Linked DNA regions of Oryctolagus cuniculus. Each later gene encodes a partner of the first gene's protein in a complex. Links are inferred from orthologs where the notes say so. Each region holds a gene or a part of one and is shown on either strand. Other genes may lie near its edges. The genes, in order: CDK5R1 and CDK5.

Evidence for each region.
Region 2: the proteins of CDK5R1 (region 1) and CDK5 are in contact, whole or in part, in a crystal structure (PDB 3O0G), measured with the Homo sapiens proteins. The link is inferred for Oryctolagus cuniculus from reciprocal best matches to the Homo sapiens genes CDK5R1 and CDK5. Residues at the interface, in NP_003876.1 of Homo sapiens: Trp190, Gln193, Thr197, Pro198, Ala199, Phe203, Tyr231, Leu232, Ser235, Tyr236, Met237, Gly238, Asn239, Glu240, Ile241, Ser242, Tyr243, Pro244, Leu245, Lys254, Glu255, Trp258, Asp259, Cys261, Leu262, Ile265, Asn266, Ser269, Ser270, Met272; in NP_004926.1 of Homo sapiens: Leu37, Asp38, Glu42, Gly43, Pro45, Ser46, Ser47, Leu49, Arg50, Ile52, Cys53, Leu54, Lys56, Glu57, Val69, His71, Leu76, Arg120, Asn121, Val122, Leu147, Arg149, Ala150, Phe151, Gly152, Ile153, Pro154, Arg156, Cys157, Tyr158.

What each region holds. Positions count from the first base shown.
Region 1 is NC_091448.1:41,587,946-41,591,796, forward strand, and holds CDK5R1 (cyclin-dependent kinase 5 activator 1), read right to left. Parts: upstream 2,221-3,851; 5' UTR 2,080-2,220; intron 1,760-2,079; 5' UTR 1,648-1,759; coding exon 724-1,647; 3' UTR 584-723; downstream 1-583. UniProt on the Homo sapiens protein: p35 is a neuron specific activator of CDK5. The complex p35/CDK5 is required for neurite outgrowth and cortical lamination. Involved in dendritic spine morphogenesis by mediating the EFNA1-EPHA4 signaling. Activator of TPKII.
Region 2 is NC_091438.1:22,758,878-22,763,424, forward strand, and holds the start of CDK5 (cyclin-dependent kinase 5), read left to right. Parts: upstream 1-1,574; 5' UTR 1,575-1,691; coding exon 1,692-1,728; intron 1,729-2,333; coding exon 2,334-2,422; intron 2,423-2,508; coding exon 2,509-2,576; intron 2,577-2,684; coding exon 2,685-2,745; intron 2,746-2,849; coding exon 2,850-2,906; intron 2,907-3,555; coding exon 3,556-3,651; intron 3,652-3,746; coding exon 3,747-3,821; intron 3,822-3,991; coding exon 3,992-4,088; intron 4,089-4,259; coding exon 4,260-4,329; intron 4,330-4,547. UniProt on the Homo sapiens protein: Proline-directed serine/threonine-protein kinase essential for neuronal cell cycle arrest and differentiation and may be involved in apoptotic cell death in neuronal diseases by triggering abortive cell cycle re-entry. Interacts with D1 and D3-type G1 cyclins.

The DNA.
Region 1 (3,851 bases):
AGGAGAGGAGTCGGCCCCAGCTCTGCCCCACCCCTTTAGCTAGGACCCAAAATGAGAGAACCGAATGAGTCAAACCAGCTTATTGGCCAACGCTGCCCACACAGCTGGGCGCAGTGGACAAGGGTGCAGATGGGGCGAGTTGCATTTCTCCACTGAAAGGAAGCCCTTCTCCCTAAAAAAGAAGTAAACCAGGGCCTCGTGTGGCCAGATGACCAGACGCAGTCCCCGCACTACGGCCGCCGCTCTCCGCCCCACCTTGGCTGACGCCGCGGAGGATCTCGCCCCACAACCCCGCTCGCCGCCCCGCTGGCCTCTGGGAGAACGAATGGCTCAAAACGGCTGCCAGCAGAGAGCCACCTAGCACAAACCCCAGTTCCTCCCCGGAGCCCCTGACCAGGGGCCCCTCTCCAGCACCCGTCCAGGGAGCAGAGGGCAGCCCGGGCACCAGCAGCAGAGGCGGGTCGGTCCTTTGCATTCCCCGGAGCGAGAGGCCAGCAGCCTGGCGGCTCTGGCCGCATCTTCTGGGTCTTGCACAAGGTCTGTGAGCTCCAAAGTACCCAGAGGTGCCGGTGAGGCCAAAAACGCACCCGGAGGAGAGACGGTGGGAAGGGAGAGCGCCCCGGCGGCTTCGCTAGACACGTACTGTACACAAAACTCCGATTCTGTTTAATAAATTTTTAAAAACGCACGGAACCCGCGAGCCCCCGGCGTGGGCCCCGGGGCTCACCGGTCGAGCCCGAGGAGGAGTCGCTTCTTGTCCTCCTGGCTGCTCTCGTTCTTGAGGTCGGAGAAGACCTGTGTGAAGTAGTGGGGGTCGGCGTTGATCTGCAGCATCTTGGAGCTCATGAGGTTGATGACGGAGAGGCAGCGGTCCCAAAAGGCCTCCTTGCGGCTCTCCACCAGGAAGGGCTTGAGGGGGTAGGAGATCTCGTTGCCCATGTAGGAGTAGGAGAGGTACAGGCAGGTCAGCAGCACGGCCTGGAGCTCGTGGTCCGAGCCCACCTCGGAGGAGATGACATCCCGGCAGAGCATGTACAGGAAGACCACGTTGGCCGGCGTGATGAAGCCCTGGTCCTGCCAGCCCTGCAGCAGGAGCGAGCGGTCCACACTGCGCAGCCAGAGCACGGGGTCCGTGGGGGACAGGTGCTTCAGGCGGTAGCACCGGCGGCACAGGAACTCGCCCAGGCAGCGCAGTAGCTCGCTGGTGGACGCCTGGACGATGACCCGCTTGGGCGTCCCCGCGGAGCTGACGGCGGGATGCGGGGCCTTCTTCACGGAGGAGGAGCCCCCGGTCTGGGAGCCCGGGAGCTGGCTGGCCGCGGGCGCGGGCGGCTGGGCCGGCGGGGGCTGGGCGAACGTGGACAGGTTGGCGCACGACAGCGACTTCTTCAGGTTCTCATTGTTGAGGTGCGTGATGTTGTTCTGGTAGCTGCTGTTGGGCTGCACCTTCTTGGAGTTCTTCTTCTTGGCCGACACGGCCACGATCCTCTTCCACGGGAGCACGGAGATGATGGAGTGCCGCTTCAGGTTCTTGTCCTTGGCGTTCTTGCTGTTCTGCACGGCCGTGTAGTGGCCCACGGTGGCCGCGCCATCCTCAAACAGCGCGGCCTTCCGGTAGCTGGGGGACAGGGACAGCACCGTGCCCATGGTGCCGCTGCACGCCCAGCCTGCCGGCCGGCGGGGAACACCAGCTCACCGCGCCTGTGGCCGCCCCGGGGAGCAAAGCGGGCGCTCCTAGGACGCGTGCGGCCCCTCGGATCTGCGTGGAAAACAAGATGGTTCTCAGCACCAGGCGGGGCTCCGCGCCTCGGCGGCGGCCCCCACGGACCCAGGCCCAGGCCCCCGCTGCGGGGGCCCTCGCCCCAGGCTCTGCGGCCCCGCCCGCGCCCGCGCGCCGCAGCCTCGCCGTCTCCACTGCGGCACCCCCGCCCGCCGCCGCCGCCGCCGCTGCGGTCCCGAGGCGCAGCCGGGAGGGGCCCGGGCTCGGGCGGAGGCAGCCGCAGACCCTAGCCTCGACACCCCGCGCGGCCCCTGCCCCGGCTCCCGGGGCGGCGAGACGCTCGCCCAGCGCAGGCTTACCCGGCAGGCGGGGGCTCCTGCGCTCCGGGCCCTCCGCAGTGCGCGCCGCGGCTCCGCCGCCGCGATCCCGGCGCTCGGCGGCGGTGGCGGCGCTGCCGAAGCTTCTGTCCAAGGTTCTGCAGGCGCCGCGGCCCCGCCCCCCGCCCGGCCGCCCTCGCCGCGCTCGCGCTCCCGCCTCCGCCCCCGGCGCGCACCCCACAGGCCGTCCTCTCGGGAGCGAGCGAGCGCCGTGCGCGCGCCGAGCCCAGGCGGGCCCGGTCTGACCCGGGAGCCGCGGCCACCGGCGTCCTCAGCCCGAGCTGCGCGCGGTGCGACAGGACGCAGCCGCGAGCGAGGGGCGGCGGGGACACGCGGCGCCGGCCCCTCCCGCACTGCTCGCCGCCGCCCCGGCAGCGGTCCGGTCGCGCGAGGGTCCCGGGCGCTCGCGCAGGCGAGCTCGGCCGGCGGGGCGCGCCGGGGCCGGGCGGGGCCGAGCGCCGACCCCGCCCGCCGCGCCGCGCCGCCCCGCCCAGACACGTGCTGCCTTTGTTCCCGCCGCGGCGCCCGCAGCTGCCGGCCGAGCCCCGGGCCTGGCAACGCGCAGCGGGCCCTCCGCCGAGGCCGCGCCCGGAGCCCGTTCCCAGGAGCTGGGGAAAAGAAGGCTGCGGCGGGGAGAGGCGAGGCCGTTCCTGAAGCCGCCTGAGAACCACGCGCACCCCCGGTGGCGGCGGTCCCCCGGGGGCCTCCGTTTCCTCGCGCGGCGGTCTCAGAAATCCAGGCCGCGGCCGCGTTCCGCACTCCAAACCTGCCGTGGAGCCCCGGGCGGGCGACTCACCCTCACCTGTCAGGGCAACGCGGAAGCGACTGCTCCTCCAACCAGCCTCTGCCTCGGATGTTTTCCCTTCTACACCCGCCTGATCTGACAACCTGACGCCAATAAAACTGCGTAAAATCCCGGTCCCAGTAAGAGCCGTTCCTCAGACGTGACCCCAGGCCCTTGGCCAAGACCACTGTTCACTTAGTGCTTTTGATCGGGTGGTAACCTCTTCTCTGCCGGGGGTGCAGAGGTGAACGAACACCCAATTCCCTGACACTGAGCTGGCACCACGCCGAACCTTGCTGCCGTCGAGTCAGGAAGCGCTAGCATTCAGTTACCTATCAACCAGAAGTCGTTCATGGTGGCGACGCAGTTTTAGGAACCTTGGTGCCGGCGCAGGCATTACTCTGTACCCAAAGGGCTGCTCCCTGCCCCCCCCCCACACACACACACAAAGCGAGTTTATCCCTGCAGAACCACCACAGCAGCTGTTGCTGATTTAGAAGGCCGAGTCAGCTCAGCGTGCCCCTTTGAAGTTCCGCAGTATACAACTGTCTTAGTCCATTTTCCGTTGCTAAAACACAACACCTGAGCACTGGGTGATCCATAAAGAAAAGAGGTGTACCTGGCAGCCAAATCCGCTCAGCTTCAGTGGCTTCGGCTCAGCAAGGCAGAGGAGCAAGCCGGCAGGCACGTGGAGAGGCACGTGTACCAGCGAGAGGAAGGTTTTTTATAGCCACCCACTCTGCAATAACCACCCACCACCCATTCCCCCGAAAACCACAGTAGCTCCTTCAAGGGGGTGGAGCCTCCATGACTTTAAAGCTCCCACCTCCTGCCAATGCTGTTAACACTGGAGACCAGGCCTTGTGGGCTTTGGTGAAGACAAGCCATGGACACAGCAACAATCCTACCTGCTTTTCAGGTGGGGCAGTCCTCCGCCTTCAGGGCAAGACACTCAAAGTTGCTCCTGGCT
Region 2 (4,547 bases), on another chromosome or scaffold:
GCACCGTGCGCGGCCCCGCCGCGGCCAGTGGGGAGGCGGAGAGCGGGGGCCGAGGCCAGGGGGTGGGGGCGCGCTTCCAGGCACAACCCGGCACCAGGAGCCGGGCCCCGGAGGCCGCCCCCGCGGGGGGTCTCTCGGCCTGGCCAGGCGAGGCCGCCGCCCAGGCCTTCCCTGCGCGGGGCTCTGGCGCCCGGGGACGCCGTCTCTTGCTCCATGACGGCACTTCTGGGCGGAGAAGAGCCTGCTTTTCGCTGGAGATCCCAGCCGGCACAGGACGGCCGGGAAAGCCAGGCAGTTTCGATACAAACGCAGCAGGGCCAAGACTCTCTTGCGCCCACCTGCACGCAACCCCCCAGGCCTCCAAGAGAAGCCCCCCTGTCTTTGCACGGGGCACGAGGTGATGGCGGCTGGAGGTTGGCTGTCCCTTACCCCGAGTTGACCTAGGACCGGTCACTTTCAGGGACACAAACGCCTCGCGGCGGCCCCCTCCTCGTCCTTGCTACCTCCCACCCTGAATCGAGTCCTGTTCTTTTAAAGAACTTGTGTGCCATCTTGTTTTCTCAATTAAAAATGCGTTTAGGTAAGGATTATATACTTTTTTGTTTTTTTAGTCTGCCACGTGGGTGAAGCACAGCATTGTGTATGCGAAAGCATTCTGATATAAAGGAATTAATCCACAAATTGTCAGCACCAGTTCTGGTTCCTGGCTGCGGAGTGCTATTTGGGGCTGTTTTCGTCCAGTTCACAGCCCGGAAGAATGCAATCATGAGACAATTAGAGAGCAGCACAGGAAAATCTATAATCAACTGCCGTAAGGGATGAGGTAAAGGCTGCTGTAAGTGTAGCATCTGTCTGTGGTCTTGTCTGTAGAGGGGGTAACCAACCTGTCAGCCCTCGTGGGCCACACCCTTACTGCCTCCAGTGGGCTCTGCTCGGAAGACTGGGATCTGGGGGGACTCCCAGGGCTCCAGCCGGCTCGCCTCATCATGGGCTCCGAGACGACAGATGAGGTCCAGCAGAGGGAGAAGTCACCCTTCCAATCCAGCCAGAAATGGCAAACACCTGCCTCTACCCAGCCCTGGGGTCAGCTGGTCCCTGTGAGGTCATCGTTCCTATTCCCCAATCAACCTTGAGGTCACTGGGAGGCCTGGGGCGAGGTGGAAACCCGCGCTGAGGTCGCTCGGAACTCATCATCACCAACCAGGTCAGAGCTGAGCCACTAGGTCCCGGATCTGGGCCGCCAGACCTCAACCCGAGGGCGCCCTACCCCCACCCCGCCGCATTCTGGAACGCGTAGTCCCAGAGCGACCCTTTTCAAGAAGGCACACAGAAAAGGAGTAACAAGAGCGGGGCACACTGGGAACCGTGGCGTCACGGTGGGGACGCCCAAGGAGCGGACGCGTGATGCTTTCTGGGACTTGGAGTCCAGGGTTTGCCTCCGCGGTCGAACCGGAGTCCCGGGAGTCGAGTGCTGCAGAGGACCTTAGCGCAGCCTGCTGGGGGCTGTAGTCCTCTTGCCCGAGTCTCCGGACACCGCTGGGAAACCTGGCCGTCCTAGGACTACAAGCCCCAGAAGGCCATGCGCAGACAGGAGGCGGGGCGGGGCCGGAGGCTGGGGTGCCGCCTCCTCTGCAACGCCGGGGCCGGAGTCTTAGAACCCAGGGCCCGCAGGGGTCCCCGCGGCTGCCGTGATGCAGAAATACGAGAAGCTGGAGAAGATTGGGGAAGGTAATAGAACCACGAGATGTTCCTGCAAGATCTTCTTCTGCAGACCCTTCGGGATTCCTTGCAGCCTAGGCTCTCCCGTAGTCTGCGGTACCTGCAGGCTCCGACCTCAGCACTGGCTTGCAGCCCTGGCCCCCAAGCTCAGCACTCCGTGCAGACACCAGCCCTGCCCGTGTTAGCATTCTCCGCGGACTCCCACTCCCAACGTTAGCCTCCCTGTGGAGCCGACCTCCCAGCCGCGGCACGTCCTGCGTTTCCCACGCCTAGCTTCAGCACCACTTGCACATCCTCACCCGGACCCCAGCAGATCTTCAGCCTTGACATTTCTGCAGGCCCTCAGTTCTCTCCCAGAGTCCTGCTATGGCCAGACCTCCCGGAGTGCCGCCCTTATTAGCGCTGTCCTTACCCTGGCCTCCGGCTCAGACCCTGGAGCCTCAACCTTTAGGCCTTCCCTACCCTGCAGCGTCCTCACTTACAAAGCTCTTGCAAGCCTGCCCCTCACCCTGAAGCCTTTCCCTTACACACTCAAGTGCCCTTCCCCCTCCCCATTTCCTGGGGATGGGGAGGGTGCCGCATCCTCCCCCTCATCTATGACCTCCTCCCCTTAGGCACTTACGGAACAGTGTTCAAGGCCAAAAACCGAGAGACTCACGAAATCGTGGCTCTGAAACGCGTGAGGCTGGATGACGATGACGAGGTAGGACCGGGGACACCAGGGCAGGGAGTGGCAGATGAGGAGGCCTGGGGTGAGTGGGATCTGACTGCTGCTCCCTCGCTGTGCAGGGTGTGCCGAGTTCAGCCCTCCGGGAGATCTGCCTGCTTAAGGAGCTGAAGCACAAGAACATTGTCAGGTGTGGAGGGGGCAGGGGGCCCTGCAGGTGGAGGAGGAGGGGGCTTCAGCCTGGTTGGGGTGGTGCAGACGTGCAGACCTGCCTGGCTCAGCCCTTGCTTCTCCGTAGGCTTCACGATGTCCTGCATAGTGACAAGAAGCTGACTTTGGTTTTTGAGTTCTGTGACCAGGTGAAAGGGGATGGGGGTGGGCTGAAAGGGAGCAGGCTTGGGAGGGTGTGGGGCCCAGACGGAGGTTCACCTCTGTCCTGTTCCCCCGCTGCATCCCTTGACAGGACCTCAAGAAGTATTTTGACAGCTGCAATGGTGACCTCGATCCTGAGATTGTGAAGGTGAGGGGAAGGGTGTTCTGGGGGCTCTTCGGGGCTGGGGTTCCGGTCTGTATGCAGTGTCAGCTCTCCTGTTTAGGCACAAATCAGGGACTTTCTGGGGGGGGGGTGTCAGAGAAAGAGCAAACCTGCTCCTGCCCTCCAGGGGCCTCCGGGCTTAGCCAGCATTTCCACATGGCCTCCTTGGACCTGTATAGTGACACTCTGAGGCCAACGGCTATTTCCACCCAAAGAGCTACACTCATTTAATCAACAAACATTTGCTGAGAGTACTAGGCCCGAGACCAAGTGCCTTGGCCCAGGTTCCAGGGGAGTCAGGTCCTGAACCATCCCAGAGCACAATATCCATGTTGATGGTGACAGACTGTACACTCAGGTCCAGCCAGGTAGGGGAGAGAGGCATGGGCTGGGAAGGCAGAAGGCCTATCGGGCTATAAGGTCTGGAAGGGCAGGGAGCAGAGCCACTTGTTTCCTGCTGTACGGGCTGCAAAGCCAACCCTCGGCAGTGAGTGCATATAGTGTTGTCCTGAGCTTGGTGCTGGGGATTGGGTAGGACATGGAACAAAGCTGAGGGTGAGGCAGGGAGCATGCCCATGGCTGGCATCACCTCGTAGCCAGGGTGTCTGACTCTGTCCCCTCTGCCCCTCTCTAGTCATTCCTCTTCCAGCTGCTGAAAGGCCTGGGATTCTGTCACAGCCGCAACGTGCTGCACAGAGACCTAAAGCCCCAGAACCTGCTCATAAACAGGGTACTGCTCAGGGGAGAAGGGGAGGGCAGGGGGCAGGAGCCTGCCCTGAGACGTTTAACAGCCCCGTGCCGTGCCTCCCTCCCGTCTCCCCCCAGAATGGGGAACTGAAATTGGCCGATTTCGGCTTGGCTCGAGCCTTTGGGATTCCTGTCCGCTGTTACTCAGCTGAGGTGAGCTGGGGGGTGGGATTTGGAGTTGAGGGGAGCAGTCCCTGGTGTTTTTCAGCTCCTGCTCCATGACCAACCCGAGACAGTGCCCTCTCTTCTCTGAGCTCCCCTCTCCACCCTCCGTCCCAGCCCTCTAAACGGGAGGGCGTCCCTGTGGGTGGGGTCTTCTCCAGGTGGTCACGCTGTGGTACCGCCCACCGGATGTCCTCTTTGGGGCCAAGCTGTACTCCACGTCCATCGACATGTGGTCAGCCGGCTGCATCTTCGCAGGTGACGTGCTGGGGCGGCTCTGCTCTTTCTCCCCAATCTGGGTTGACAAACAGGGTCTGGAGGGTGCCCTCTCGGGGAAGGGAGTAGGGCCCTCGGGTCCGGGAATGGCAGGTGCAGGGGTGCCTCGGAGTGAGGAGTGCGCGGTGCGTCACGGCTGTGCCCCTCTCACAGAGCTGGCCAATGCCGGCCGGCCCCTCTTCCCTGGCAACGATGTGGATGACCAGCTGAAGAGGATCTTCCGATATCCTTTCGCTGCCCCCAGGGCCCTGAGCCCTGGGCCCGCTGGAAGCGGGTGAGGCCGTGGACCGACAGCACAGGTGTGAGGGTGGCGGTGGCCTTGCCGGGATGGCGGGGTCTGCAGGCTTCTCCTGAGGGTGAGAGGCAGGCAGCTGGCACACGCTGTGCAGAGGTGCGGCCTGCAGGCACAAGGGCACGCTGGGGTGTGCTTCCGGACAAGTT